Linked DNA regions of Sus scrofa. The protein of the gene in region 1 binds, or shares a complex with, the protein of each later gene. Links are inferred from orthologs where the notes say so. Each region holds a gene or a part of one and is shown in the gene's direction. Other genes may lie near its edges. The genes, in order: CWC15, CWC22, GPKOW, RBM48, SNRNP40, BCAS2 and CRNKL1.

The links.
Region 2: CWC15 (region 1) and CWC22 share a complex: the UniProt entries of both Homo sapiens proteins name them as parts of the minor spliceosome. The link is inferred for Sus scrofa from reciprocal best matches to the Homo sapiens genes CWC15 and CWC22.
Region 3: CWC15 (region 1) and GPKOW share a complex: the UniProt entries of both Homo sapiens proteins name them as parts of the minor spliceosome. The link is inferred for Sus scrofa from reciprocal best matches to the Homo sapiens genes CWC15 and GPKOW.
Region 4: CWC15 (region 1) and RBM48 share a complex: the UniProt entries of both Homo sapiens proteins name them as parts of the minor spliceosome. The link is inferred for Sus scrofa from reciprocal best matches to the Homo sapiens genes CWC15 and RBM48.
Region 5: CWC15 (region 1) and SNRNP40 share a complex: the UniProt entries of both Homo sapiens proteins name them as parts of the minor spliceosome. The link is inferred for Sus scrofa from reciprocal best matches to the Homo sapiens genes CWC15 and SNRNP40.
Region 6: CWC15 (region 1) and BCAS2 share a complex: the UniProt entries of both Homo sapiens proteins name them as parts of the PRP19-CDC5L splicing complex. The link is inferred for Sus scrofa from reciprocal best matches to the Homo sapiens genes CWC15 and BCAS2.
Region 7: CWC15 (region 1) and CRNKL1 share a complex: the UniProt entries of both Homo sapiens proteins name them as parts of the minor spliceosome. The link is inferred for Sus scrofa from reciprocal best matches to the Homo sapiens genes CWC15 and CRNKL1.

What each region holds. Positions count from the first base shown.
Region 1 is NC_010451.4:27,044,439-27,048,803, reverse strand, and holds the start of CWC15 (spliceosome-associated protein CWC15 homolog), read left to right. Parts: upstream 1-1,523; 5' UTR 1,524-1,667; intron 1,668-1,698; exon of another isoform or gene 1,699-1,946; intron 1,947-2,908; 5' UTR 2,909-2,916; coding exon 2,917-3,047; intron 3,048-3,641; coding exon 3,642-3,754; intron 3,755-4,365. UniProt on the Homo sapiens protein: Involved in pre-mRNA splicing as component of the spliceosome. Component of the PRP19-CDC5L complex that forms an integral part of the spliceosome and is required for activating pre-mRNA splicing.
Region 2 is NC_010457.5:85,602,850-85,607,168, reverse strand, and holds the start of CWC22 (pre-mRNA-splicing factor CWC22 homolog), read left to right. Parts: upstream 1-1,331; 5' UTR 1,332-1,580; intron 1,581-4,319. UniProt on the Homo sapiens protein: Required for pre-mRNA splicing as component of the spliceosome. As a component of the minor spliceosome, involved in the splicing of U12-type introns in pre-mRNAs. Promotes exon-junction complex (EJC) assembly.
Region 3 is NC_010461.5:43,181,681-43,185,471, reverse strand, and holds part of GPKOW (G patch domain and KOW motifs-containing protein), read left to right. Parts: intron 1-53; coding exon 54-208; intron 209-307; coding exon 308-438; intron 439-2,318; coding exon 2,319-2,428; intron 2,429-3,791. UniProt on the Homo sapiens protein: RNA-binding protein involved in pre-mRNA splicing. As a component of the minor spliceosome, involved in the splicing of U12-type introns in pre-mRNAs.
Region 4 is NC_010451.4:72,443,174-72,447,747, forward strand, and holds the start of RBM48 (RNA-binding protein 48), read left to right. Parts: upstream 1-1,637; coding exon 1,638-1,781; intron 1,782-2,318; coding exon 2,319-2,509; intron 2,510-4,574. Other genes in the region: PEX1 (peroxisome biogenesis factor 1), read right to left, coding at 1,195-1,443. UniProt on the Homo sapiens protein: As a component of the minor spliceosome, involved in the splicing of U12-type introns in pre-mRNAs.
Region 5 is NC_010448.4:87,876,783-87,881,093, reverse strand, and holds the start of SNRNP40 (U5 small nuclear ribonucleoprotein 40 kDa protein), read left to right. Parts: upstream 1-1,470; 5' UTR 1,471-1,553; coding exon 1,554-1,697; intron 1,698-4,311. UniProt on the Homo sapiens protein: Required for pre-mRNA splicing as component of the activated spliceosome. Component of the U5 small nuclear ribonucleoprotein (snRNP) complex and the U4/U6-U5 tri-snRNP complex, building blocks of the spliceosome.
Region 6 is NC_010446.5:105,991,217-105,995,567, forward strand, and holds the start of BCAS2 (pre-mRNA-splicing factor SPF27), read left to right. Parts: upstream 1-1,341; 5' UTR 1,342-1,434; coding exon 1,435-1,527; intron 1,528-1,636; coding exon 1,637-1,729; intron 1,730-4,351. UniProt on the Homo sapiens protein: Required for pre-mRNA splicing as component of the activated spliceosome. Component of the PRP19-CDC5L complex that forms an integral part of the spliceosome and is required for activating pre-mRNA splicing.
Region 7 is NC_010459.5:28,101,661-28,105,451, reverse strand, and holds part of CRNKL1 (crooked neck-like protein 1), read left to right. Parts: intron 1-1,427; coding exon 1,428-1,606; intron 1,607-2,920; coding exon 2,921-3,091; intron 3,092-3,791. UniProt on the Homo sapiens protein: Involved in pre-mRNA splicing process. As a component of the minor spliceosome, involved in the splicing of U12-type introns in pre-mRNAs.

The sequences.
Region 1 (4,365 bases):
AGAAAGAAAGAAAGAAAGAAAGAAAGAAAGAAAGAAAGAAAAGAAAGAAAGACAGACATTTGAAACTTGGAGCAGCAGATTAAGGATCTGGTGTAGTCACTGTAGCAGGTCACTGCTGTGGTGGGAATTCAATCCCTGGCCCAGGAACTTCCACTTGCAGTAAGAGCCGGCCAAAAAAAAGAAGGAAAAAAATTGGTTTTTAATGCAGATTTTTATGCAAGAGAGTGACACTACCTGACTCACTATTTTAAAAGATCACTCTCACTGCTAGATGCAAAACTGACTATAAGACAAAGGAGACAGTTACACTCCAGGCGGAAAATGATGGTGGCTTGGACTAGGGTAGTAGCAGTGGGAATGAAATTTAGGGTATATTTTGAAAGTAGAATTGGTAAGACTTGCAAATAAGTTGGATGAGACAAGTGAAGGAAAAGGAATCTAAGAGGAAACCCTGGGATTTGGGTTCAAGTAACTAGTATGATGGTAGGTAGTGTCCTTTACTGAGATGTCTAAGACTGGGGGAGTAATACCTTCCTAGAAAAATCAAGACTTGCATCTTGAAATTTACAGGGAAGGGAGTTTTTCTACCCTTTTGTTTTGTTCATTTTAGAGTTCAAAGAAAGAATTCTGAGGGGGGGAAAAAGCTTTTTTATGTTCAATTTTAATGAGCTCTTTACATTTGAAACTAAGCTAAGGGAGTTGGATTTTCATTTGTTTAAGTATCTATTGAGCCAAAGACTATGTGATTAGATATCACGATAACCACGTTAAACTGACCAAACAAGATCCCTGCTCCCACAGTGCTTTTGGAGGTGTAAGAAGGACAATTGGTGATTTTTTTCCCTTTCCTGTTCGTTGCCTTATTAAAACTTCACCTAACGCATGAGTAGCCATCTTATAATTGCATCTAGGGCTCCTGGCAGTTGGGCCCACCGTTCTAAACGTTCAATGTCGGTTAATGAATGAATCTCTAATAGTGACATCTCCCCTCCCGCTAGAACTTAGGCTTTAAAAAAAATTACAATTTTAACAGTCAATACGAATACAACCTTTGCTTTGAAGACTAACATTTTTTGCAGGAATGGTACCTTTATAAAGATCGTGGTTGCCCCCGTACATATTTGTTCTTTCTTCATATCCAATTAAAAGAAAATACTAGTCTTTCCGTAGCCCAACTCTCTAGGCTTGCTGGGTCTAGCTCAAAGATTAAGCAAGCAGGAGCCGTTGGATTTAAACCGTTTGGTATAATCCTTTTCTACGCTCTCTCTCCTTCTCTCTCGGTAGCCGGGGACGTGGTGTCGGCTACCCGGGGCTTTCCGTCCACGCAGTACCGGAATGAAGGCGTCTGGGAGGGGGTCGGGAAAGGAAAAGACGGGAGAGACATTAAGTAATTGGTTCTCGAAGGTATAAAATGATGTTTAGGGTCTACTCAAAGCACCGATTTCAAACGCCCGCCCCCTGGGCTGTTTAAGCCCCGCCTCTTGCTGTCGTCACGCCGACTTCTCCCTTGGCCTCTGCCGATTGGTCCCTGCCTCCGCCCCTGAAGAGGTTAGGGTTTGCTTCCGGGTCTTGGGCTTTGGCCCTGGGCGCAGGGGTTTCTGGGAGCCGAGAATCTAAGTGGTTTCTGAATGATCTCCGGAGGCTGGTGCGTTCGGACCTCGGCCAACGTGAGCTGCTGGGGGAAAGCAGACTGGGGGGGGGGGGGGGGAGGACAGTTGGGGGCGGACGCGGAGAACCGACTGCAGGCAGAGGAGTTTTCCGGAGCGGCAGCGGGTTGCGGAGCCCAGCGCCTGTTGGACTGGGGACGGCCAGTCCCGGGCCGGCCGCGGAGAGCGTAGCGTGAAGGTAGCTCTACAGGCTGCGTTAAGCGGGTCTGGGCGCCCCCAGCCCCTCGCCAAATCTGGCACGGGTGAAGAATCGCCGGGCTTTCCGATGACAACCCGAAGGTGAACTCCCCAGAACCCAGAGTGTAAATAACGATGGTGTGTGGGAGGCGGCGGCGCCCCCAGCGGCCCGGAACCCAGTTTCACCCCCACTGGATATATTCCTCTCCCTTTTTTGAAAATCTAGAGAAGTATGCCAGCTGCCCCAGACACTTGCTTTTCCGACGCTTGAGGGAGGTTTTAGTAGCCACATCGGCTGTGCAGTGTTTTTTAGTTGCTTAAAAGCAGAAGTAACATAAGGAAGGAGTCCCTGATTTGTAGTTACCAGAGTCCCGTGGGGGTGGGTTCCTGTGTTTTGAGCATCCCTTAAATTGTAACTTGCAAAAGTTATGATTTATATTATATTGGCTGCTGTAGGATAAAATTGAAACAACAAAAGATTGTTGGGGAGCTTTGCCAATGTAACTGTCGTCGAAGTTGAGCACACTTCTTCAGGACCTTCAGTATCTGTCAATGATTTGTTTTTTTAGATATCTTCTCTGTTTTTGTAGCTGCTAGCCTCTTTTCTGCAGTGTGAGGTTTAGATAAAATGGGAACCTTAAGGAGTCTGGTGGAGTAAGGTTGAGTTGAGATTTTTTTAAAAACTGAGACACGGCAGTACTGTATTTTTGCAAGGGCTTTGACATGTCAAGTCTCTTAATTTCATGATAATCCCATGAGGAATAGTCCCCATTTTACAGATGACGGAAACTTAAGCTAGTTGGCTTGTCCAAGGCCACAGAGCCAGAAGGAGAACAGGAACACAGTCTCAGATCTTCATGACAGAACTTTTTGTACTAAATATCTGCATATTCCCGCTACACCCTGAGCTTCACTGTTTGTTTTCATGAGAACTTTTGAGATCATTTTAAATAAGTTTTGGGGAATAAGTTAGGGAAATTTTTTCCCAAGGATGGATATTGATTAATACTTTATAAAATGATAGTTTGTTATGTTGAAAGTAACTTGGCACTTTTTCTTCAAAGCATAAAAAATGACGACGGCAGCTAGGCCAACTTTTGAACCTGCAAGAGGTGGGAGAGGAAAAGGAGAAGGTGATTTGAGCCAACTCTCCAAGCAATATTCAAGTAGAGACCTACCCTCTCATACGAAGATAAAATATAGGTAATGAAGCCTTTTATTTTTTTTTTTGTTTCACAAAGGAAGACCAAATCTGTTAAATGGTATGGTCATAAGATAATAGTGTTTACGTTATTATCACTTAGTAATCTATTTTCATAGGAGTAGAATGCATTAGTGTTTATAACACTAAAATCATGCGCTATGATTGTAAAATGCTACAAGATATTCCTTAAGCAGAAATTGCAATTAACTGGGAATTTCCATAAGTAGATGGAGCAATAGCTGATACATTATCTCAGAGGGACGTGCACTATCAGCACTAATCAATATGAGATTAAGAGTATTATTGTAACAGAGCCCTGAGTTGACATAGTTACAAAAAGTAAGGACATTTTAATCAACCTGCACCCTTATTATGGGAAAGTATGTGATTTAGCTTGAGGTTCTTGAAATATCAGAGACATCACAGGAGCCTCTTAGTAACCCTCAGATTAGGATAGTGATCTTGTCCAGTTTCCCTAATGGGACTTTATGTTTCAGGAACTCAGGACAAAGTTGCTTTTCACAAGCTGTCTTCTATGACTACAGCCGTGTGTTTTTAAGAAGTATTTTTGCCCTGGTTTGTTTCTGCTTTAGACAGACCACTCAGGATGCCCCCGAAGAGGTTCGGAACCGCGACTTCAGGAGAGAGTTGGAAGAGAGAGAGAGAGCTGCTGCAAGAGAAAAAAATAGAGATAGGCCGACCCGAGGTACCAACACTCCCTAGACCCCTAGACTACCCTACACCCTGGACACGTCTCTCATGACATTGTGTTGACAGTAATTTTTCTTTCACGTGGTAATTAGAATGGATTACTGTTTTTGTTTGCTTGCTTTTAAATATTGGTGTGAACTTTAAGTTTCTTAAAAGACTGGATCAGATTAGGTTAGGATAGATTAGATTGGATTAGATTAGATTAGATTAGAGATGGTAATGAATTTGATTCCAGTTCCATCTTTTTATGTTTCTATATGGAAAGAACTAGGTGATCTGGGAATATTTAGCAACCATTGTTTCAGTTCGGATTAAGGTATTTTCACAGCCAGACTTTTTGAGGCCCCATTGTTTCTGTCTATGAAATTCTCCATGGAGTTAACTATTGTGGCTCGGCTGGTTCAAAACCCAGTGTCATGAGGATGCTGGTTCATCCCTAGCCTTGCTGAGTAGGTTAAGGATCCTGTGTAGGTCGCAGATGTGGCTCAGATCCCCTGTGTGGCTCAGATTCCCATTGCTGTGGCTGTGGTGTAGGCCAGCAGCTGTAGTTCCAATTCGATCGCTGGCCCTGGAACTTGCATATGCCAGAGGCATGGCCCTAAAAAA
Region 2 (4,319 bases), on another chromosome or scaffold:
TTCATCTCCTATGCCCTGTATTAGTACAACTGAAAACTATACATTTAAATATTTTAAGACACCAAAATGCACCTTAAACTATGGCCAAATATCTTAACCATGAAAAAGGATAGATAATACTATCATGTACCAGGAATCATCACAAACACAGCAAGTGTATCACCAAATTCAATTCTTAAAACTATTCTGTGGGGTGGCTACTGTTATCATTCCTAACAGATCAGGAAATGGGCACACAGTGTGAAGCAACCTGTTAAAGGTCAACCATCTATTTCAACAGATTCATGATTCTAACATAAGTTGTTCTGCTCTAGTATCTTTATCCATAATCATTTTACTCTGCCTCTAGGAAAGGGTTGGTAATACTAGCACCTTCAAATTGTAATAGATCAGTGTTTGGAGAAACCAGACCTGGTTTATACAAGGTTGAGGAACATAAATATACAGAAATTTTAGGAAAGGCAGTTTCCAAAACAGTAACAAGCAGTTTTAACTTTTAGGTTTTGTTATTATTAAAAAGTTTAGTTTGGAGTTCCTGACACAGCTCAGTGGTTAACGAATCCGACTAGGAACATGAGGTGGAGGGTTCCATCCCTGGCCTCGCTCAGTGGGTTAAGGATCCAGCGTTGCCCTGAGCTGTGGTGTAGGTCGCAGATGCGGCTACGATGCCGCCTTGCTGTGGCTGTGGTGTAGGCCGGCAGCTGTAGCTCTGATTAGACCCCCTAGCCTGGGAACGTCCAAATGCCGCAGGTACGGCCCTAGAAAAAGGCAAAAAGACAAAAAAAAAAAAAAAAAAAAAGTTTAGTTTAAGAAAATACTTTGATTACCTCTCATCTCTGTCCAGACTATTTCCAAGTCAGCGAGGCTGTCTCCTTATGATATCTCACGAGCTTGTACCTTAACCTAAAAGAGAAACATCATCTTCTCTAAAGAATTAGTTTCTCCTCATTACGTCACTCTGTTTACAGTCCAATATTCTCTCATTCACTTGGGCTTAAATTTTGGAACTTAGTAGGCACTTAATTAACATCTGGTAACATTTTCACTTACATAGTTCTTGTAACTAGGAAATCCGAGAAAGGTGTCTGCTCTTAGATTTTCTCAGAAAAATGAATACATTAAGGTCTACTTTTTTTTTTTTTTTTTTTTGCCGACTTCAGAGAAATAATTTTAGATTAAAGTAAAGTAAATTTTTAAAAGTCTTTCTCACAACCAGGTTTCCGGCGGGCCGGCAAGACGCATTTTCTGCCGCTTACGGAGAACTACAATTCCCACCATACACTGCGGCCTTCTCAGCCTACAATTGCAAACGTCATTTCCGTCCTGTTTGCGTGTGGGTTCTGGACTTTGTAGTTTATATCAACTTCTCTTCTGTCGCCGTTTTGGGAAGGGAAAAGTGGGACCCTACCGACTGCTCACAATGTGGCATTTTAAGATGGTATTTAAAATAAGGTAATAGAATAACGTTGCAAGGTCAATTTAGGTTTTTATATATTCCATGTTCCGCCTTCCGCCTACCGCCGGCCCGGGAAAGGGAAGTGACGTGTATCCGGTGTAATGGCGGCGCGGTGGAGCTCCAGGTAATTACCGAATTCCGCAGACCCGCTGTAGGCAGCGAACCGGAGTGCGGGTGGCGGGTTGTGGGACCCGGCGGGAAGTAAAGGAGGGCCCAGGACTGGGTGCACGCTCGCTGGGACAGCCGTGGGCGGCTCCAGGGTGCGCTTGGGTCTCCCGCCGCGCGCTGGCCCGTGAGATTGGGTTGTGAGTGTCTGTCGGGCCGAGGAGTCCCAGTAGGTGGGGTGCAGCGGGCGGTGGTGAATCCACTCCTCGCCTGCGCGGACGGAGTAGCTATCGTGAGGCTCCTGGGCTGTCTCTCCCCACTGTCTTTATTGCAGAATCCAGAACCAGCGCTCCCTTCCTATGCGATGTGTTTTGGATGCGGATCAGTTTTGAATCAATTAGAACCTCTCAAATTGTTTGAGCTTCCCAAGGTCCCTTTCTTAGTGCCTCCCCACGGGTGGGGGATTAATGTACGATAGTTAATTTAAAAATAGTGGAAGTTACACTCTCCTTTATTAGGCGTACTATCTTTGTGGATGCTTCTGTAAAATTTCGGTAGTCATTTCTTTTTCATTCATTTGCCTCGTAAATAGTTATGCTTCTTAGTGTTTAGTCCTGGAGACTGTTTTTTTCCTTATTATATGTGTTCTTTCTGTCATTCTTTACCTTTCCATAACTTGAACTACTTCCAATAAGGTGCTAACTCCCGAACTTGGGTCCCCAGTGTCTGTCTACCTCTCTATTGAGTTCTGAATCTACGATACATTTGCATGTACTGGTAATATAATATGATAGTTAATTTTACTGAGTCCAGCTGCAGTAACCACTTTAACCTATTTTCGCTTTATCCTGAGAATAATTATTTGAGATAAACGAAGAAGGAAAAAAATGGGGAAAGCCTATTCCAGATGCAAGAATGAGATGGTTGAAAGTCTTGAAAGAGTTCCCTTAACATTTTCAGGTTTCCACAGACTAGAAAGAACAGACAGACAGATAAACTTGGGTTTCAGAAAACCAGTTAACCTGCCTCTTCCTTGTCTGTATTTAAATTTGTTTTAGGATTGCCATTGAGTTTAGGAGTTAACCTCAGTTAACATCCTACTATGGAAAGGTGGATTTAGAATTGCCATTAAAAGTGTGATCTTGGGAGTTCCTGTTGTGGTTCGGTGGGTTAAGAACTCCACATAGTGTTCGATTCCTGGATTCACTCAGTGGGTTAAATAAGGATCTGGCGTTGGGGCAAGCTGCAGCTAGGTTGCAGATGCGGCTTGGATCTGGTGTTGCTGTGGCTGTGGTATGGGTAGGCAGCTGCAGCTCCCATTCAACACTTAGCCTGGGAACTTCCATATGCTGCACCAAAAAAAAGTGTCATCTTGATAACAAGAAGCGTTTTTACATCACTTTCTGTAGGAGAAGGAGACCAAATTGAATTGGTACTGAGTGATGGACTAGTAAACCAAAGGTACCATTCTTGGTTCAGTACATTTTAGGTCTGTCTCTAGGGGCAGACTACCTCACATCTCTAGTCTCAGATAACACAGCTGAAAAATGGAGGTTGTTTTGAGGATGAAGAGAAATAATGCATATGAGGCACTGAGACTTCAGAGGCCAAGAACCTTAATCTAATGCCCTACCTGACCCAAGTTTCCAAAATATAATCTCCTGAATCAGTAGAATCAGTTGCACCAATATCTACATGGAACTTGTTAGAAATTAAATTACTGGGCTTCATGCCAATCCTGTTGAATCAGAAACTGGGGAATGAGGGGCCTTTCACTCTTTTTTTTTTTTAACCAAAGCTTTCATGTGATTTTCATGCCAGTTAGTTTGAGAGCCACTGTTCTAGCCCATCTCCTGGGTATTTGCAGTGGTTCACCCTCACCCAGAATCAGGTTTGCTGCCTTTCTTGCTGCAAAGTACTTGATCCATGGCTAGCCTGTATTTCCTTGTTATTCCACTGACACATCCTTCCCTACTTTGGATAGTTTAGTTCCAATCACTTCTGGAGTGAATAATAAGAAAATAGAATAGGAATTCTGGATTTCTTACACTTCCTGGATTTCTTACTTGTTTTTCATAAACCAGTTTTCTTAGCTTTGTCCATTTTCCCAGCTACTGAATTGTTAGAGGTTAAGTCTCCTCCCTGGTGACTGTACATTGCCAAGAGTTGTACAGTGGCTCGTTGTAGCTGAAACTACCTAAGAGAGTACACAGTGATACATTATGTAACTTGAACATTATTTTCTGTTTATTGTCCCCTTGTATTTGGACTGAATCTTGTACTACCTGGTGTATCCCTAACTTGATATAAGTCATGGCTGGCCCAGAACTAGTTTAAAAAAGAAGTGGCTATTGGTAATATAGCTGTTCTCACTAATGGTAATGACTTTGAGGGCTTCCTTGTTGCATTTCTCTCCTTTTCTATTTAAATCTGAGAATTCTAGCATGGGAGGTAATGGAACAAAAAGGCCACTACCATAATATTTTCTGTGAACTTCCATACTTAAAAAGCCTGCAGCCTAAATATTATCTCTGTATATATATTTCTCACGTGGACATTGGAAGAGACATTTCAAGGCGTACAACAAAGTGCAAACTTTCAAAGCATTTTTCTAAAATAATACATCAGGAGAAGTGGTGGTGGATTAAAGCAGGCCTTTGCTATTTGTAGCTAAGCTCATAAATCTTCCCCAATGAACAGGTACTAAAAAAGATGATGTGGATGCCTTGGCCTGGGGACATATGGGCCCCTGTGACTA
Region 3 (3,791 bases), on another chromosome or scaffold:
GAACCCACTGATCATGCTCCTCTCCCAACTCTACTCCTCTGTGTCCACATCAGTGTGAAGCCTTCAGAAGCCCCCACGGAGCTTGTCATCCCTTTGATCAAGAATGGCCACCGCAGGCAGCCAACCACCCAGGCCCCTGGGCCATCCACACTTCCTGAGGTCTTGGCGGATGGGATGCTGTCCCAGGCTGTGAAGGAGATCATCGAGGGTGAGCGATTCCGCCTTTGCCTTCTCCTCCTGAAGGAAGAAGGGGAGGGAAATGGAAGGATAGGGTGGGACCTCATTGCTCCCTCCCATTCTTCCTCAGAATCCAAGAAGTCCCTGGAGGAGAGAGAGAATGCGGGTGTCGACCCCACGCTCGCTATCCCCATGATCCAGAAAGGATGCACCCCAGCGCATCCTGGGCAAGGGGCAGACAGCGAACCCCGGGCTGAGACAGTGAGCTGGCCCCTCGACTCCCTCCTTCCCCAGTCTCTCATTGCCCTGTCTGCCAGGCTCGCCTCCCTGCCCCCAGCAGGAAAAGTCTGTGTGTGTGTACAAGAGGCCTGCCTCTCCCTTCCTCCTTCCATCCTTTTTGGAAGCATTAACAGATGAATCCAGATACTCAGGTTTGAAAAAGGACTTGGATCCTGGGATTATATCTAAAGGAGATGAGGAGCAGAGGGAACAGGAAATGTAAAGATGCTGAGGGTGGACTCCGCCTGAAGTGTTTGAGGGACGCCAAGGAGACCAAAGGAGCTGGAGTGGAATGAGTGAGGGGGGTAGGGTAGCAGAGGAGGTCAGAAGTGGGCCATGGGGAGGACTTCCGCTTTAACTCTTGAGTGGGATGCAAGCCATGGGAGGGCTCTGGAGCAGAGAAGGGACAAGGCTTGCGGTTTGACCGTCTCTCTCGCTGCTGTGAATAGAGCAGCCTAGTTAGCGGAGGTGGGGGCAAGGAGACCAGCAGTCCAGGCTAGAGGTGACGGAGACTCAGGCCAGAGTGGTAGGAGTGAGGCCAGGAAGGACAAGGTAGGGTTTAGAGAGAGAGGGAAGAGCACGGTGAGTGCTCTTAATGGCAGCAATGACCCGGACAGTAGCCTGGTGGCAGGCAATCCACCATGCGTGTCCATCAGGGACAACGTGTGATGTGTCTGGAGGGCATATCAAGACTCAAGGGAATGGTGATGGCAGGTAACAGCAGGAGAGGTGAGCAGTATGTCCACAGAAGTTGCCAAGTCTGTCTTTCTTCCCATGGACCCTACTCGTCACCTCTTCATTCATCATTTTTCTGCCATGCTTCTTTGGGTCCTAGCTCTCCTACAGCCCCAGAGCACCTTCTCTTTCGATTGAACTGTGCTCATCAGCCTCAGACATCCTCTGGTTCCTTTCATTAAAAAAAAAAAAAAAAGAAGACCTTCATTCTCAAAGCTGTTCCAGCTTTGGCCTCCTTTCTCTAATTTTCCCTTCTTAGAGCCTTCCACATCTCAACTGATCACAGTTTCGTCCGTCCCTCCTCTCACTTCGTCCAAAACCGTTAGAGTCACCCTTGACTTCCTGCATTATTTCCGTACCTCATATACAATCTTATTGGCAAAACCCTGCCATCTCCCTTTTCAAAATACATCAAGAACCTGACCCCTTCTCACCATCACCCCTACCACCACTTTGGTCTGAGCCACCTGCTCATCCAGACTGTTGCAGTCGCTTCCTCACTGGTCCCCTTGTGGCTGCCACCCTACTGGGGCTCCCACCCAGCTCTCCTGATGAATCTCTTACTACCCCTCTCTGCCTCCACATCTGTTTCAGTCAGATTGACTTTTCCTGATCCTCTTCACACATAGCAGATCTTGACCTGCCTCAGGGCCTTTGCTCTTACTGCTCTTTCTGGAGTGATCACATCGTATGCTCCGGGCTCCCTCTGTCATCTCCTTCTGGTTTCAGCTCAAATATCAACTCAGTGACACTCCCATCTCTATCCCTCTGCATCCCCTTAATGTGCTAAATTTTTTTCATGTGACTTAGCATGTTTTATATATTTCATTTATTGTGTCTCCACTAGAACATAAGCCATACAAGGGAAGGCGTTTCATCTTTTTTTTCACCGTGTTATCCTTGGCACCTAGAACAGTAGCTGGCGCAGAATAGGGGCTTTATAACTATTTTCCCAGGGACTGAACAGGGAGAAGTAAAATGAGGGATGGCAAGAAGAAATCAGAAGTCAACCTTTGAGCTAACTGGAAAAGATGCCTCGAGGGTCACCCAGTGAGTGATAGCAAGTACACTTCAGAGGGCCCACTGTAAGCCAATCCTGACTGTCCTTCCTCTGCCTAAACCCATAGGTGCCGGAGGAGGCTGATTACGAGGCAGTCCCTGTGGAGGCCTATGGGCTGGCCATGCTGCGGGGCATGGGCTGGAAACCCGGCGAGGGCATTGGCCGCACCTTCAATCAGTGAGTTCTAGGGTAGGGGCAGGGGGACAACAGACAGGAACAGACCCCCATGGTTACCGCCCACCCAGAACCATCCAGGCAGGGAGAGGGTACATGACCAACCTAAGTATTTCAGCAGCCCCCTTCCACTACTGTTTCAACCTCCTATTTGCCCTTCAGAACTCCTCAATGAGGAATTCCCACTATGGTGCAATGGGATCAGTGGCTTCTTGGGAGCGCTGGGACATGGATTCAATCTCCAGCCAGGCACAGTGGGTGGGAGACCCACTATTGCTGCAGCTGTGGTGTGGGTCGAGACTGCAGCTGGGATCTGATCCCTGGCCCAGGTGCCCTATATGCCATGGGCTGGCCAAAAAGGGAAAGAAAAGGAACCCCCCCCCCCATAATAAGATGCCATTATCTAAAGATTGCCTCTCTGGGGAGTTCCTGCTGTAGCTCAGCAGTAATGAACCTGACTAGTAGCCGTGAGGATGCAGATTTGATCCCTGGCCTTGCTCAGTGGGTTAAGGCTTCAGCATTGCCGTGAGCTGTGGTGTAGGTCACAGACGCAGCTCGGATCCTGTGTTGCTGTGGCTGTGGTGTAGGCCGGCAGCTGTAGCTCTGATTTGACCCCTAGCCTGGGAACTTCCATATGCCGCAGGTGTGTCCTTTAAAAAAAAAATTAAAATTAATAAAGAAAGAAAGATTGCCTCTCTGGGCATCAGCTTTCTCATCTGAAAAATGGGGATAATAACAGGACTGGAGTGCCTGGGTCTGTTGTTAGAGTTAAGTGAAATTATATATGTAAAGCAGTTAGGGTAGGCCCTGGGCCCAGATAAGCATCGACTAAACATTTGCTATTATCATTATCACATGGACTTAGGACCCCTTCTCAGCAGTTGTAAACCCCAAAGAGTTCTGAAAAACAAACTTTTTTTTTTTCATAGAACATTTGGCAGCCAAAGGTGACCTGGATTGACAGTTGAGCATTTTATGCTCTACTCCTGCTTGGTGTGAATAACCATGTGATTTTCCCTGTAGAAACATTACTGTATTTGGTTATTGGGATCTGCCACAGATTCCTCTGTAGCTACTTTGTAATAGCATGTTTTTAGGTTGAACCAAATGAAATTGCCATTTCTGTAGGTCAGGAATAGTCCTAATGTGAGATTAGGAAGGATGTTCTTTTCTTTTTAAATCTTTCTAGGGCTGCGCCTGTGGCATATGGAGGTTCCCAGTCTTGGGGTCGAATCGGAGTTATAGCTGCTGGCCAGCTAGGATCCGAACCACATCTGCGACCTACACCACAGCTCACAGAAATGCGGGATCCTTAACCCAACTGAGCGAGGCCAGGGATCGAACCTGTGTCCTCATGGATGCTCGT
Region 4 (4,574 bases), about 45 Mb from region 1:
TAGATAAAATTATCAGTTACTCTACATTACTATAAACTCATTAGGTGGGGATTTGAAGGCACGTGGAAAATCATCAAAGCTGAAAGCACAGGGCAGGGAGCAGCTACCTGGGACCAGGTGATAATAACTAACTCATCTCCAGCCAGAAGGAAGCTTATCAGGGCCAAGAGACTGCCTACTTTATAGTAAAAGAAATAATGGCAGGATCTGTTGAAATTAATGTGCTATGAAAGATAGGGGAAAATACTCTAGAAAAGGAGTTACAGAGAAGTAGCTAAAATGGAAAAGGGAGATATTTGAAATTATTGCAAACTGTTGAAATTACTGCAAACCAGTGGGTACTATGCATTCAGGATTTTCGAAGATTTCAAACAGCCTATCCTTTTAGCCCCTTAAGCAAGCACGCTCAAACTCGTAAACCAGGTGTCTCCACTTTACAATTAGGAAAATACAGATGTTGCATCTCTGTAACCATGCAAGTGTTAGAGCTATGAACCGCCACAACCACAAGGTGCAGAGCGCAAGTGAAAACAGAGGTTCAAGGAATTCTAACTACCTATGACCAAGTATGCATACTCCCACAGCACATTCCTGGAGCACCCCGGAGGTGTTTGGAGACACAGGAAGAAGGTTCATATTAATCTATCCCGCTCGTGGGACACAGGGCTCCACCTCTGTTAACCAATAGAGACTTCACAAACCAAGTCCGCCCCTCTTTCTGAAGGCCGGGACCACAGCCATGCAAGCACCTGGAAATCGCTGGCAGGAAAAACGTTTTCTAATAATGAAACAAAACAGAACAGAATCCCAAAAGACAAACAAACCCGACTTCTCAAGAGCTTTTCCAACCTGGAGTGAGGAATAGTTGAACGAAGAGGGAGAATATCGGGGCGTTTCAAAGCCCAGTTCCGGCGAGTAAAAGACCTGGAATACAGCAGGTCAACTCAAAGAAGCCGTGCTGCACTAGACGTGATGTGGCTGTCAAGAGCGCCCAGGCCAGCCCTGCCCGCAAGGGGTCCTCAGTGTGGCCTCTGAACCGGTCGGCGGGGCTGGGAAAGCAGCCCTAATCCCGCCGCCGGGAGAGGCCTGAGCGGCCGCTGCGTCCCTAAAAGGCCTGGGTCTCGGCCGACCGCAGACTGGCCAGCAGCTGTCCCAAGTCGGTGGTGAGAGCCCGGCACCAAGCGGGCGCCTTACCTGCAGCAGGTGTAGCTGGGCCACAAGGCGCCGCGGCAAGTGGAGGAAGCAGTCGCGAGCGTTGGTGAAGGCCACCGTCACGGCCGCCCCGCCTCCGCCAGCACCCGCCAGGCGATCGCCGCCCCACATTGTCTGCAGGCACCGACCCCCAGCCGCCCAACCTATCTTTCCCGGGCCAACCCCGCAGGTCGCGGGCGTCGGACCCGGAGACGATCGATCGGCCCCGCCCCCTAAGGCCCCGCGGCGCATCCGGAGCGGGAGGGGCCAGCACGCCTGCGCCTGTTCTCAGGGCCTTTCCGCCGCGCCGCTGGGGGGCGACACGTTCTTCACCAAATCCTCGCTCACAGGAAACGATGGCCGACGGTGTCGATTCTTCAGCCAATCTCGGAACGCCTTAACTCACCCCTCTCTCTTATTGGGTAAACGGTGGGGCAACGGGGCGGATGTTGTCGTTCGCGAGGGATAACACCGGCAAGATGGCGTTGAGCGGCGGGCAGCTAGGAGGCTTATTCGATCACCACGTCCAAAGGGCTGTATGCGACTCGCGGGCCAAGTATCGAGAGGGGCGCCGCCCTCGCGCTGTCAGGGTAAAGTGACTTTGGTTTCAATCGCTATCCCCGGTAGCTTTCTGTGAGTTCCAGCTTCACATGCCCAGCTTACGTAAATAACATCTTGAGAGGCTGCGGTCACATCGATTAACTGAAGAAGAATATGAAAAACGCTGGTACTCAAGTACCAAAGATGCTTGAGTGCTCTTTAGTCTACTGCTAGAACCTCAGCTCCGTGAGAAGAGGGCTGTGTTTCAGTCACTGTATCTTCCGTGTTTACAGTGGTCCTTGTTACATGGTAAACGCTCAGCGAATACTTGTTAACTCGTCCCTGTAACTTCTACCGAGCTAATTTGTGGAAAACACATTGATGGAAGATAATGTTACGTGCTTTAGCTAAAGGCCTTTGCAAGAAGGGTAAACTATTCATTATGTAGAGAGAGGGGCAAGTTTTTAGATTTCCTGTTTTTATGCAAACCAGTCGAAAGGTGTTTTTTTCAACTTTAAAAAAATATAGGATTAGATTTGTCCCAGGCTTCTTTGTGAAATACATTTAATGTGTCTGATTTCTTATAGGTTTACACGATCAATTTGGAATCTCGGTACTTATTAATACAAGGAGTTCCTGCAGTCGGAGCCATGAAGGAATTAGTTGAGCGATTTGCTTTGTATGGTGCAATTGAACAGTATAATGCTCTAGATGAATACCCAGCAGAAGACTTTACAGAAGTTTATCTTATTAAATTTCTCAATTTACAAAGTGCAAGGTAATATGCAAGTTAAACAGTGTCTCATTTTCTCCATTCCCGTTGCCTACATTTGGCCTCCCTCATTCATTTCTGAATTACCCAGTAACTAACATGACCCTGTATTCTTCTAGTCTTTTTAAATGTTAGCCCTACCAAACTCTTTCTATCACGTCATTCCCATGCTTAACAATTTTTTTGTGTGTGTAGTATGGTAGATTAAAAATTGGTTTGGGAGTAAATTTTCAAGTTTCACTGTTTACTAACATCATGACCATGGACAGGTTACTTGACCCCATTAAGACTGTTTTCTTATTCTTTAGACACCAGTATGGTAAAAGGACCTACTTACGGAGGTTGTGTGAGGATGACATGGATCCATGTATAGGGCTTAGCACAGTGCCTTCTATTCAGAAGGCAGTAAACATTAGGTATTGGATCTCTTATTTTATGGACCTGTGTAATTGAATCTCCTTCTATATAACATAAAATTTTCTCCAACAATTAAGTACGAAATGCCCTATCTCTTTTTTCCCTCATTTTAAAAAATGAAAGTGTTGATTTACAACCTTTCAGGTGTACAGCAAAGTGTTTCAGTTATACACACACACACACATATACCTATTTGTGTGTGTATACACACACACATTCCTTTTCAAATTATTTTCCTTTATAAGTTATTGCAGGATATTGAATAGAGTTCCCTGTGCTAACCAGTAGGTCCTTGTTGTTTATCTGTTTTACATATAGTAGTGTGTAGCTGTTAATCCCAAATCCCCAATTTAACCCTCTTCTTCCTTTCTACTTGGGGCCTTGGCTCTTTTTATGTTGACTCCTATTCTTATTGATAGGCTCCAAGACCCATCTTCTCTTGGCTGTTAGAATTCATATTTTCTTTTCTGTGCTACAGATAGCCCTTGTAGTCTTTCTGCCATAAATCACTTGGGTTAATGTCATCGTGTGTTGTTCTCAGGTTGCCGTTATATATAATCTCACTACCCTAACCAATTTGTCAGCTCCTCATGGTTAGGGATATTTTCTCATTGTGTATTTTAAGGAGTTTTGCATCTCTCACTCCACCTGGTACAGTAGGTCATGCAGTGTGACATCTGGATTTGAATCTTAGCTCCAAAAGCTAATGTGAGAATGGCCAAGTTATAAATCTCTCTAGGCTTCAGTTTCATCAGAGGGTTGTTGTGTTAATTCAAGAGAAGCACTTAAGCACTTTGGTCACTGCCTGGGATGTGGTAAAATCTCAGTAAGTATTTATCATTTTCCCTGGGCACTGAAGTGCTTATTTATTGTAGTAATTCCTGGCCAGTCACAGATGTTTAAAAATTATTTGTTGAATGAATACCATTCTCATTGATTGTTATATATTCAATATTTCCTCCATTATTGAATGTTACAATTTCAATATTTTATTAATTTCTTAAATATGAATCCCATTATAGGAACACATTGTGCCAAAAAGGCTAAAATAAGTATGAGCTAACGCTCAAGAGCCATTTAACATAGAGAAAAATCTCTATTTCATAACCACAGATTGTGTACCTCAGGCCAACCAGCTGGATCCAGTATTGGTTAAAGGGAGTCTGGATAGGTATGGATGACTTGAAACCTATTAAGACTAGGGAGAGGGAAAGAAAGGCTCTAAGAGTAGGCACTGGATCAGTAGAGTCATGCTGTCCACAAGCAGAAATTCTTATTCCCTAAGTATAAGATGTATATACACTTGGCAAAACCTGGACTTTGCTTTTTATTTATTTTTTTGCTTTTTAGGGCCACACTGCGGCACATAGAAGTTCCTAGGCTAGGGGTTGAATCGGAGCTACAGTTGCTGGCACAGCAAGGCGGGATCTGCGATATACACCACAGCTGTGTCTGCGATATACACCACAGCTCACAGTGCCAGATCTCCAACCCATTGAGCAAGGCCAGGGATCAAATCTAATCTAAGATACTAATCTGATACTAGTCGGATTCATTTCCGCTGTCCCACAATGGGAGTTCCTGGACTTTGCTTTTTAGGTCAGTGCATTGTGTACTAGTCAAGCTTTCTTCCTAAGTAAATCTAGATCAGGAA
Region 5 (4,311 bases), on another chromosome or scaffold:
GAAACCCACTGCCTCTACTATGGTATTTGCCAGCAAAGGAGGATGCCTCTCACCCTCCTCCTTTCCCTTCCAATTCAATTCTCATCTTAGGTGCAAAGGAGTCTAGAAAATATCTACCTCTCAGTTCCACCAACACTCTATAGTCTTCATTGCTAACAACTCTCACCTCAGCGGTCTATTTGCATTTATCTCCCCTCCAATCTATTCAAACTACTGAGCCAGAAGGACCAAGCTGCCTCCTCCATCACACCACCTTCTCCACTGCAAAATACAAAATAAAACCTCAGTGATTTCCCATCAGTCTTAAAGAAAAGCTACAAATTCCTACACAGTCTGGCTTCCACTTGCCTCCAGCTTCATCTTGTACCACACTCCCCTTTATTCTCTTTGTCCTGGCAACACTGGCCTCTTTGTACCTTTTAGTCATTTTCCTCTCATTTGCCATTGGGCCTCTGCACATGCTGTTCTATATGGAATATTCTGCCCTCCTCTCTTCCCCCAACTAATTAGAATTCTTCCTTCAGGCATAGGTTCAGGCATCTTTTTGTTAGACAAGTCTTCCGGCTTATTTCTGGCACTCAAAACACCAGGTACCTTTCCCTGGCAGCACTTACTTTGCATTCCCTATAAAGATCATTGTTGAGCATCTGTTTTTCCCATCGGACTCAAAGCCCTGAGGTCAGGGACCATGTTTGGTTCACAATGTCTCCTCAAAGCTTTGCACCATAAATATCAGTTGAACGATTAAGGAGAAAACCTACTTCACAAGTATGAGTCTGAATTTCTCAGCCAAGACTGTGCTCTGGAGACCAAGAGTCGGACATTTCCTTCATCTCTCTCTCTCTCTCCCTCTCTCTCTCTCAGGGGCACAGAGCAGGCGCTGGTAAAAGGCTGCAGTATCACGGCAGAAAGAAGTCGGCCTCCAAAGTCTGAGACGACCCTGGTGGAGGCTGGGAAACTGACCTTTTCTCCCAAGGAGCACCTGGCACAGGGCTCGACACAGAAGGCGCTTGTTAAAGAAAGCAGCCGTCGAGGGCCCCAGGCAGGCGCAGAGACCCCACTGCTCTGCTCCAACCTAGAAAGGGAACCCAGGCCACCATACACCAAGAGCTAGGAACTCAGGGGCCCCCTCTGCCCTCTGCGATCAACCCTGGGCTGAGAGAGGCCAGCTTCAGACCACACAACGGAGGCGCCGCCTCCAGATTCCGCAGCCACCCACCCCCAACACTTACTCGGAGTTAGCGTCAGGTCTCCCCGCCGCAGCATTGCGCGAAACGCCAGAACCCAGTCAGCGCGCTTCCACCCACAAGACCCAGCGCGCCGAGGCGGGACTCCAGCTCGTTCCACCAATCCTGGAATCGTACTCTAGTGACATCAGAATGAGTTGCCCAATAACTGGAGACTCCCCAGGGGGCGGTGCAGAGGGGAGTATTGGAAGCCGATTGGTTTCTCCAAGCCGGAAGTTCTAAGGGAAAGACTAAGTCGGAGCCAATCGTGCGCTCCCTGAGGGTGTCGGCGCGGTCAGTGGCGGCCTGAGGAGAGCGGTTGCCGCCATGATAGAACAGCAGAAGCGCAAGGGCCCAGAGTTGCCTCTGGTCCCAGTCAAGCGGCAGCGGCATGAATTGCTTTTGGGAGCGGCGGGGTCGGGCCCGGGAGCCGGGCAGCAGCAGGCGGCGCCGGGAGCTTTGCTGCAAGCGGTGAGTAAACGAGCAGATGGCCTTCGGCCCTCAGCTCATCTTCCTGTCTCCTCAGTGCTCCACCGTGAGATCCCGTACCGGCCCTTTCCCTGCACTGCGGGGGCGGAACGGGACTCACACCAGGGAGTTAGAGCAGAAAAACCTGTTAAAGCGGTCAACACCCTGCGATGCTACGTTTCCCCGTTTGACGTTTCAGCGTCTCGATGGCCCTGTGAGGGGGCGTTAGAATTAGTGAGGGATCTTAAAACTGGGCCCCGGGCTTTCGCATCCTAAATCTTCCAGGGATCCAGCATAGAATAAACGTTCAGGAAAGTTGAAAGAGTGGATGGATGAATGAAGGAAGAAAGAAAGGAAGGAAATGAACGATACTAGCTCGCTTTGGGACTTGGGGCAACTTGCTTTGGGGAAAACTCTTTCTCTGCACTAGTATTAACAACTGAAGAATAGGTAACACTTATTGAGCCATGTACTAAGTGTTTTGTATATGAAAACTCCATTAATCTTGGTCACTGCCTAAGAGGTAGGAATTGTTAATTGTCCCATTTTGTAGATGGGGAAACAAACTTCTCTAATAAGTGATAGAAACCGATTTTAAAATCAGAATCCAGGCTTTTAACTAGAGTTCTTATAAGATAGAGGTAGTGATGGATGACATCTCTCCTTCTGCTCTATTAGGCTTAGCTGAAGAATATATGTCCCCTCCTGAAACTCCTCAATCAGGCTGTCAGCAAATCTTTGCTGGCACCATCCTTAAAATAAACCCAGATTTGTTACCACTTCTAAATATCTCCATCACTACCTCCTGATCTAAGCTGTTATTCTCTCACCTAGTATTCCTGCTGTAGGATCCTGATGGCATTCCTGTTTCTTTTCTCAGATGCTCATTCTATTCTCAGTCCAGCAGCCGGAGGAATCCTTCTAAACATCAAATCATGTTAACCTCTGCTGAAAACATGCCATGGCTTTTCGCTTCACTCAGAGTAAAACTAAAATCCTAACAACCTTTTGCCCTCTTTCCCTTGACCTCTCTGATCTACCAATTTTCCATTGCTCACCTTACTCCAGTCACATTGGCTTCTATGCTCCTACCACACACAAAGCCTTTGCATTTTCTTTTCCCACTACTGGAGTGTTCTTTTTCCAAATGTCCACCTGGTTTACACACTCAGCTCCTCCAAGTCTCTGCTCAAATATCGCTTTTTCCATGAAGGTTTTCCTGACCAACCTGTTTTAAATTGCATACCTGGGTACTCACTAACACATTGCTGTTTGGTTTTCTCCATGGTACGTACCACCACCATCTATACCTTATACTTGTTTCTGCCATCCCTCCCTCCTTTCTGTCCCTCCCTCCTGCTAGAATACAACCTACATTGTTTATTTTGTTCAACACTGTTTTCTCAATGTCTAGAACAGTGCCTGACACATAGTATTTTTTGAGTAAATGAATAAGCTGGAAACTACTGATGAGATTTAGGAATTATTAATAGTGTATTTGTTCTTTTGGTTTTTTTTCTTTAGGACAGCACCCATGGCATATGGAAGTTCCCAGGCTAGGGGTCAAACCAGAGCTACAGCTGTTGGCCTACGCCACAGCCACAGCAACTCAGGATCTGAGCTGTGTCTGCGACCTACACCACAGCTCACGGCAACGCCGGATCCTTAACCCACTGAGCTAGGCCACAGATTGAACCCATATCCTCATGGTTCCTAGTCAGGCTTGTTAACCACTGAGCCATGAAGAGAATGCCAGTGTATTTGTTCTTCCATCTGACAAGTAAGAATATCAGCTCAAGTTTCTGTGAATTGCCCAAGCCTAGGCTTAGTGGCTAAAACCGTAAACAAGACTACTTTCCTTAGTAACCTTGTACCCTGCAAGGTTGTTGGGAAGCTCAATTCAATCATTCATTCATTAAATGAACTAGAAACTGGGAAGACTGTTGAATGACTCTATAGGGTTCCTGTGGTCACAGAGCTTTTCTAGTGGCACAGTAGGGGAGACACTGTAAACAAGTAATGAGGAAGGTAATTTCAGGTAGTTAGAGAAGTGCTGTGAGAGGTGTTGCCGTTGTGGTGCAGCAGAAACGAATTCGACTAGGAATCATGAGGTTGCGGGTTTGATCCCTGGCCTCACTCAGTGGGTTAAGGATCTGGCGTTGCTGTGGTTCTGGCATAGGCCGGCAGCTGTAGCTCCCATTAGACCTCTAGCCTGGGAACCTCCGTATGCTATGGGTGCAGCCCTAAAAAGCAAAAAAAGAAAAATGAAGTGCTGTGAGAGAATCCCTAAGGTTGATAGCATGTAGAAGGGAGGTGGAAGAGTGCTGCTTGAGTTTGAGTGTTCCAGGAAGGACTTTCTGAAGCAGAAATGTTTGAGAGGAGTCACACACAGGAAGATCTAGGGGAAGGGGTTTCTGTCTTGTTCCTGCGGGTTCAGCTACAAGTATAAGAGATCCTGAGGCAGAAATGAGTTTAACATGTTTGAGCAATCAAAAGTAGGAGCGCAGTGAGGGAGGAGGAGAGTTAGCATAACAAACAGACCCTGGAAACTTCAGAAGAAGAGAATCTAATTAGAGACGTAAGTTATGTGAGAAGAGTTGCCATTATCTAAATCAGG
Region 6 (4,351 bases), on another chromosome or scaffold:
CCATTTGGTCACTTCTGAGGGAACTCCAATCCTGAGGGAACAGTTAGTAATTGGGAATTGAGTGTTTATAAAATGGGGATAGAAGGTGTAACTGGTGGATCCTGGCCATCCCTCTGTGAGGAGACTTTTGCTTTGCTACAGGGATGGGGGTCTTATTTTATCCCTGCAATCTGAAGCTGCTTCCTTTTCTTAAGTCTTTTATTTTGCTTTTGTAAAGTATTACAAATTCTGGACATGTTTGTAAAGTAATTGCTCAAGATTTGTATAAAATGTTGTTTACAGATCTTTTAATAAACAAAAAATTCCGTGGATCTCTTGGGAGAATCTTAAATGGCTTAAGTTGTAGATTTTTTACTTCAGTTAAATCTATATAGCTAGCACACTTAATTAATGGTAGGTTAAAAGATAATCCTAGGTTCAAGCTTAATAACCGTGGCCGACATTTCCAGGCTCTTGGCAAAGTCTGGGTCGATATTTGCACACCGGACACGGTATAGAGTCCTACCTACCTTATTTAGTCTTCCCCTGCTTAATCAAAGGGAGCTGGAAATAGGTACTGGCAGTATCACGAGTGTTAGGATGCAATGAGAAAGATTGTCCTGTTACCAGAAGCCCTAAAAGCAAAATGATTGGATTTTATACACGTCCTGAAGGCAAAAATCAGTTTTTTAAAAGATGAGGTTAGTGGGCAGTTACCAATCTCGCCCCGGGGGAAGATCAGGTTCCTTTTGTTAGGCACACTCCAGACTCCAAAGCTTCGCAGTTTTCACTGGAGTCTAACGCCCACTTCTAGAGTCTGCGAGAGCTGCACTTATTCCACTTATTCGGTGCAAAGATTCTCAAGGGACGGAGAACAATAGTGCAGATAGAGCAAGGAAGTGAAAAGGGAGAGTAGTTTAACCGAAGACTGGAAGGTTAGGGGAATAAAGCCGAGGTGGGAAACCAGGATCCTTCTCTTCGCTAAATCTTGCAGCGAGTTCCCTCAAAAGTTTTATTAAAGGGTTTCCCCTCCCTCAAAAGTTTTATTAAAGGGTTTCCCCTCCCAGATATCAGCGAGCCGGAGGAAACCAAAAGTCCCAACTCTTCCACTTGGCTGCCAATCGGAGGCAAAAAAGCGCAGCAGGTGGGGACAGGAAATTGAGACGTTCCTGCAGACTCCGGAGCCACACAACATGACGTCACGTCCGACCAAAACAAGAAGGCTGGACAATTTCTAGTTAGCACGCCCTCGGAATTAACTGAGCATGCGCCAAAAGCTATTACGCAAGCGACGTGCTTAGGACAGTGTCGGCGCTGACGATAGACGTGATTACATGTTCGACGTGATTACGTAGGTGTCGGACGTCGGCAACGTGATTATGTTAATATCGGGTGCAGGCCTATTTAAGCGAGCCTGAGCCCGCGCAGACTCAGAGAAGTCAGGCGAGCCCAAGAATGGCGGGCACCGGTTTGGTGGCTGGAGAGGTTGTTGTAGACGCGCTGCCGTATTTTGACCAGGGTTATGAAGCGCCTGGTGTGCGGGAAGCGGTAAGTTCCGGGTGTCTGTGTGACTGACTCAGCGCTCGCGGACACTTCGGGCTGGAAGACTGACCTAACGATGTGCTCCTCTTATTTTGGCCTCTGTTCTCTTTCTTAGGCCGCGGCGTTGGTAGAGGAGGAAACTCGCAGGTACCGACCTACCAAGAACTACTTGAGCTACCTGACAGCCCCAGATTATTCCGCTTTTGAAGTGAGTGTGATATTTTGAGTCCACGTTATAAACCAGGATCCTGTGAATCTTTGTTTTGGATTGAGAGCCTTAGCCACACAAAAGTGAATTTCAGATTCCAGCTTTAACTGTTACTTGCCTAGCCACAGCTTACTCATTGGTATAGGTAGTGTCAGTCAATTGAAAATAGCTGCATGGATAAACTGTCTCCCGGGTTCTTATTCTTAGAGCCACAGAAGGACTTTCTAGGGCTTCGCGAACTGATCTAACAATGCAAAAACGAATGTTAACGTTTTTCCGAGGTAGGTTCACTGCGTAAATTCTCAAAGGGATCCTTTTCTCTTTAAGGTCTACTGCAAAACAAGTGATCTAGGGTTTTTTAAATACACAAAAGCCTAGTTACCTAAGCTTCTGAGAACCACTGGAGGGCGGTCTTTGAACCAAAGTTTAAGTATTTTCTGAATCTGTGAGAATGACTGAAGAGACAAACCGTATCTAAGTAATGCACCCTTTAAATATTTAGAAGTGCATCTGTAATACTATTTAGGGTCTAATCAGCTAAATGAAATGTAAAATATTTCTAAATTAATGGATTCTGTTAGGCATTTTAGTATATACATGTTCCGTTTTTCCCCATATCTGGTAACCATTTATTTACAAAAGAAATCTCTTATAAAAAGCAGTATTTCTATTGAAGTAACATGAAAAAAATATATCGGTTAAGTTTTAAGTAGGAGAGAGATGTTCCTATGGCATCCTGTTTTCCCATGCTTTTTCTAAATGTCACCCAAATGTAGATGTTACAGTATTAAGAACTATGCACAGGAGTTCTTGTCCTGGCTCACGTGGTTAACGAACCTGACTAGTATCCATGAGGGCTTGGGTTCGATCCCTGGCCATGCTCTGTGGGTTAAGGATCCAGTGTTGCCGTAAGCTGTGATGTAGGTCACAGAGGCCACTGGGTCTGCGTTGCTGTGGCATAGGCTGGCAGCTACAGCTCTGATTCAACCCCTAGCCTGGGAACTTCAGCATGCCAAGGCTGTGGCCCTAAAATGACAAAAAAACAAAACAAAAAAAAAACTAGGTACAGTAATAATAAGTCCTTATTAGCCTGATTTCTGAAAATTTCAGATAACTTCATTCAATCACAAACTTTTAAACACTTGAACAGGTTTTCTTTTTTGGTCTCTTGAGTAGAACCTATACTTCTATCTTTATAATTAGTATAGTGATTCTTAATAGTAGGAGCTAATAGTGTACTGAGCTCACTATCTCAGTCCTAAAAGCAGTCCTGTGAATTGTAAACTGTATGTTTTTTATACCAGTTTTTTGGATAGGAAAAGTGCAGCTTACTAACTTCCCCATGATCTTCAAACTGCCTTTGAAGCTGCTCTTTCATTAATTCATTTAACAACTATTTCTGACATTCTTTTTAAGTTATTGGGGAACAGGAGTTTACATTCTAGAGTGTAGAGACGGATCAGAAATTATTAGATTATTGGTAAAGCTACATGGAGAATTAAAGTAATGATGTGATACAGAGTGACTGGGTGACTACTTTAGATAGGATGGTTGAGGAAGGCCTATGTAATCTGAGATGATACTCCATGAGCAGGGATCCTTTTTGTCTTCTTCACTGTATTTTCATCCCTTAGGACAGTGTCTGGCACACAATAGGCACCCAAATATTTGTCAGTTGAATGTATGAAGAGCTCCTAAGGCATTCTGATTTAACGAATGCTTACCATGTGCCATTCATGCCTGGACTTCTTATATGACAGCCCTGTGAGTGTTGGCTCAGTCTTTGGAGAGAGTTGAGTTAAAATTCCAGATCTCTCACTTATTGGCCATGTGAGTTAGGTAAGGGCTTCTATGTTACGTGGCTCAAGGTTGTGTGTGCTGTATTTTTGTAGTTTCTCTCACCTCATTAGTAGTGTTTACTCTTTATCTGTCACTGTGCATAGCCTTCTAGCTAGAATGCCTTAGTGTCTGCAGGAAACAAAATAACCACATTTTCTTAGAGGTGTGTGCAGCTCAGCAGTATTCCAAAAAAAAAAAAAAAAAAAAAAAAAAAAAGGCTTTCTCCAACAAGACATACTTAATGCAGAACTTTTAAACAAGGAATGTGGGCTTCTGGAAGTCCTTTTTAGCTTACTCTTTAGTCTAAACGGAATAGAATGTTGACCAAAACATTGGCCTGAAGAGGTAGAGCTATACCACATTTTTTTTTTAATAGTAAAATTGTTGGAGCAAACAGCAGAACCAGTTCCTTTTGTCCCTTCTTCTAGTCTCCATTCTTTTTTTTCTTTTTAGGTCCTGCACCCACAGCATATGGAAGTTCCCAGGCTAGGGGTCGAATCAGAGCTACAGCTGCCGGCCTACACCACAGCCACAGCAATGCGAGATCCAAGCTACATCTGCGACCTACACCACAGCTTACGGCAACACTGGATCCTTAACCCACTGAGCAAGGCCAGGGATCTACCAGCATCCTCATGGATACTACTCAGGTTCATTACTGCTGAGCCACAATGGGAACTCTCTCTCCATTCTTTCCAAAGAGTAAAGTGTAAAAAGAGCAGCAAGGATCAAAAAGGAAGTGTAAATTTAGGCTCATAGCTCTAAAGCAAATTATGTATGTCC
Region 7 (3,791 bases), on another chromosome or scaffold:
TATAAAATAAAAGAGAATCTACCAACAGTAGTTGTTTATAGGATATAAGATCACAACCTTTGTGAGATATGGTATTTATACATTTCCCCCAGGACCAGTGATTGGGTATTCACTAGCTGTCAGAGTGACTTCAAAGAATATAACTACTGCAAAAAACAAGGCTCAACTTAATTATGCAATTTTCAGATCTTCATTGTGACTACTCATTTTGATGTCATTAGTTCAATGAAAGCATTTATAGTGCTTGCTATGTGCCATGTGTTATTCTAAGCACTTTTTTTAAAATGATTTTTATTTTTTCCATTATAGTTGGTTTACAGTGTTCTGTCAATTTTCTAAGCACTTTATGGGTATTGTCATTTAATCCCCATGACAGCTCTGCAATGCAGGAACCGCTTCATGCTGCACATGAGGAAACCGAGGCACGAGAGGTTCAGCAGACTGACCAGGGTCTTTTGTGTAGTGATGGAGCTGGGGTTTGAATCCAGTAGCAGCTTCAGCGCCTGTGCTCTTTATATTGTTGCCCTCTAAATGTATTACTGCTTTGGAAGTTAATGGTTTCTTCAAGAGAAGTAGATTAACAATAGATACATCCTGTTTGGAAGTAAAATGGTAATCCGAACTCTCTCTGTTGGCTCTGGTCAGCAGTTTTCTTTTTGTGCCATTTTTTTTTCCTTAGTCGTTAATTCAAATATGAATGTTACTGAGCCGATACTACAACAGGTGCCATTTATTTGTTTATTCATTTTGTCTTTTGAGGGCCATACCTGTGGCATATGTAGGTTCCCACGCTAGGGGTCAAATCAGAGCTGTAGCTGCCAGCCTACACCACAGCCACAGCAATGGCAACATGGGATCCAAGCCACATCTGCCACCTACACCACAGCTCATGGCACCGAAGGATCCTTAACCCACTGAGCGGTGCCAGGGATCGAACCCACGTCCTCATGGATCCTAGTTAGGTTTGTTAACCACTGAGCCACAATGGGAACTCCAGGTGCCATTTATTGAGCACATTCTTTTGGGCTAGAATTACTAAGAGCTTTACACACATTTTCCTCATTTAAAGCTTGCAGTCATTGAATGACATTGGTTGCTATTATTTTCCTTTATTTACAGATGATAAAACCAGTGTTTAGATAAATAACGTCTTTTCCAGATCGCATGGCTAGTCAGGGGGTTCAGCTTTTTCATGGCCCCAGACTCCTGTTTGTAGCAGCACTGGAATGCTGAGTAAGCCCTGGAGGAGGCCAGCTGAACAAGGCATGGCCTCTCGGGTGATTACAAGTTAGGGGGTCTTCATCTCTGTACATGTTTTATCACACACACACCCACCTCCCCCAGCTGGAGTGTGGATTGTTGGGGTTTGAATTTGGGGTTTTGTTTTTTAAGCCACATTCTGCCCATATTTCTTTAATTCTGCCCACTTGTTCTCGTGCACCCCGATGTGAAGAACTGGATCAAGTACGCCCGTTTTGAAGAAAAACATGGTTATTTTGCCCACGCACGGAAAGTGTATGAGAGAGCTGTCGAATTCTTTGGGGATGAACACATGGATGAACACCTTTATGTTGCCTTTGCCAAGTTTGAAGAAAATCAGAAAGAAGTAAGTAAACGTAAAGGAACTTGATTCTGTTGCAGAGCAGCCTAGAAAAGGTTATTGCTTGTGCACACTGAGTTCATTTCCGTTTTCTTATTCACTTATCCTTGGAGAAAGTGCTTTTAAAATACACAAACATGATTTCTCAAGGAAAAGAGCATATATCTGTGACTAAGCTGCAGATTGGGAGCGAGTGATTATAGATTGTATTTTAATTGGCTTAACTTTACTGTGCTCTACTTGAACATTAAGCCTGTCCATCTAGAAAGAATATTATCAATAAGCTGAGAGTCTGTTGGTATCCTGATTAAAGGGCTTTACAGGTAATGAACCTGGGAAATAAAAGCCCAGAGCCCTCAGTACGGAGAACAGAATTTGAAATTAAAACAGATTGCCTCACAAAGAAGTCAGTTATTTTCTCCCATAGTGTAAATGGAAAATAATCCTGTAAAGTGGCTCAAATAATACAAGATTGGTGGGTGGGCGGTGTTGGTTGGGGTCTGAATGCAGGGTTTTGCTTGGGTTACAGTAGTGAATTCTGATTCTCTTCCTAGGGCTAGTGGCAAGTGTTGCAGGTTTTAAGCAGGAGAGTGGAAGGATATAGTTTGTGCTATGAGGAGAGCCTGTGGCTAATTCATCGAGATTGTATTGGGAGGAGGGTGGTGAAAGTGGGAGGCTTTTGAAACAGTCCAGGGAGAAATGGAGGTGGGTCAGCAGAGCCCTGGGAAGAAGTGAGGGGCTGTGTTGAGGAGGTGGAAAGGGCTGGGCTGTGGAAGTGGTGAGTGTGGAGAGTGAGGGAAAGAGGCATTAGGAAGGACTCCTAACTGAGCAGGTATACGATGGTGGGTTTTGCTCAGCAGGGCAGGGAGTCTGAGAAAGGCCGGGGCCTGGTGGGGAGAAACAGGCTCACCTTAGCCTGAGGTGCATGGATGACATCCAGCTGGCAGCATTGGGGGACTTTTGTCTTGTTAGTACTGCACCTGCAACATATGGAAGTTCTCAGGCTAATGGTGGAATCGGAGCTGTAGCTGCCAGCCTACACCACAGCCACGCCAGATCTGAGCTGTGTCTGTGACCTACACCACAGCTCATGGCAACGTCAGATCCTTAATCCATTGAGCAGGGCCAGCTATCAAACCGAGTCCTCATGGATACTAGTCAGGTTCGTTAACCACTGAGCCACGATGGGAACTCCAGTGTTTTGAACATTTTGAGGCCTTACAGTCTTATACCTAAGTCTTATGTCCTAATTACTTTCCAAGTTGTGACAAGAATGGAAATACTGTGTTCTAGAAGATAATCCTTCCCATCTCTTCTTAGTTTGAGAGGGTACGAGTCATCTACAAGTACGCCCTGGATCGAATTTCAAAGCAAGAGGCCCAGGAACTCTTTAAAAATTACACCATCTTTGAGAAGAAGTTTGGTGACAGGCGGGGCATTGAAGACATCATCGTGAGCAAACGGAGATTCCAGTATGAGGAGGAAGTGAAGGTGAGTGCTGGTGTAGCTGCTTCACTCTGCGGTGACGAGCACATGCTGGCCAGTCCTGACTGCAGTGACATGGGTCAGGGCAAGTCAGGGCCACAGTGATCGCTCTCTCGACCATGTATCTGCAGAAAATTGGCAGCGACTCCAAATAGGAATAAACAGACTGATAGAAAGGCAAGCAAACAGGACCTGGATTTGCTCTGCCTCTCGCATGGTGGAGGGCACTTTGTTAATTGCTGATGGTATGCATAGAACTTGAGCAAGAGAAACCTGGAATCCATCTGAGCACATTTTTGAACAAAGAATCAAATCGATCCTAAAAAACCCTTTTATATACATTATCCTTAACTTAAGTGCTGGAACAAAAGACTTTGTAGGTATGGGACATTCTCATCTCTGTCTGGAATGTGTTAGTTTGATTTGAATTCAGAGGTAGTCAGGTTTTCCTGTGCTCTTCTGCTGTGTATTTAAAAAAACTTCGACTTGGTCAAATGTATTAAGATATCTCCAAACAAAGGACTAAGTCAGGTGTTAAATGAGGTCAGCAAGATATGTTCAAAACATGTCACTGTTAATTGAAAAGGCAGGTTTTGCCATTGCAACCATGGTATAATTGCTTTTTCATTTTAAATCTAGACATAATGCATAGTCACATTTACACTTATGAAAAGAGAAATCCGTTTTTACAGATAGAGATTTTAGA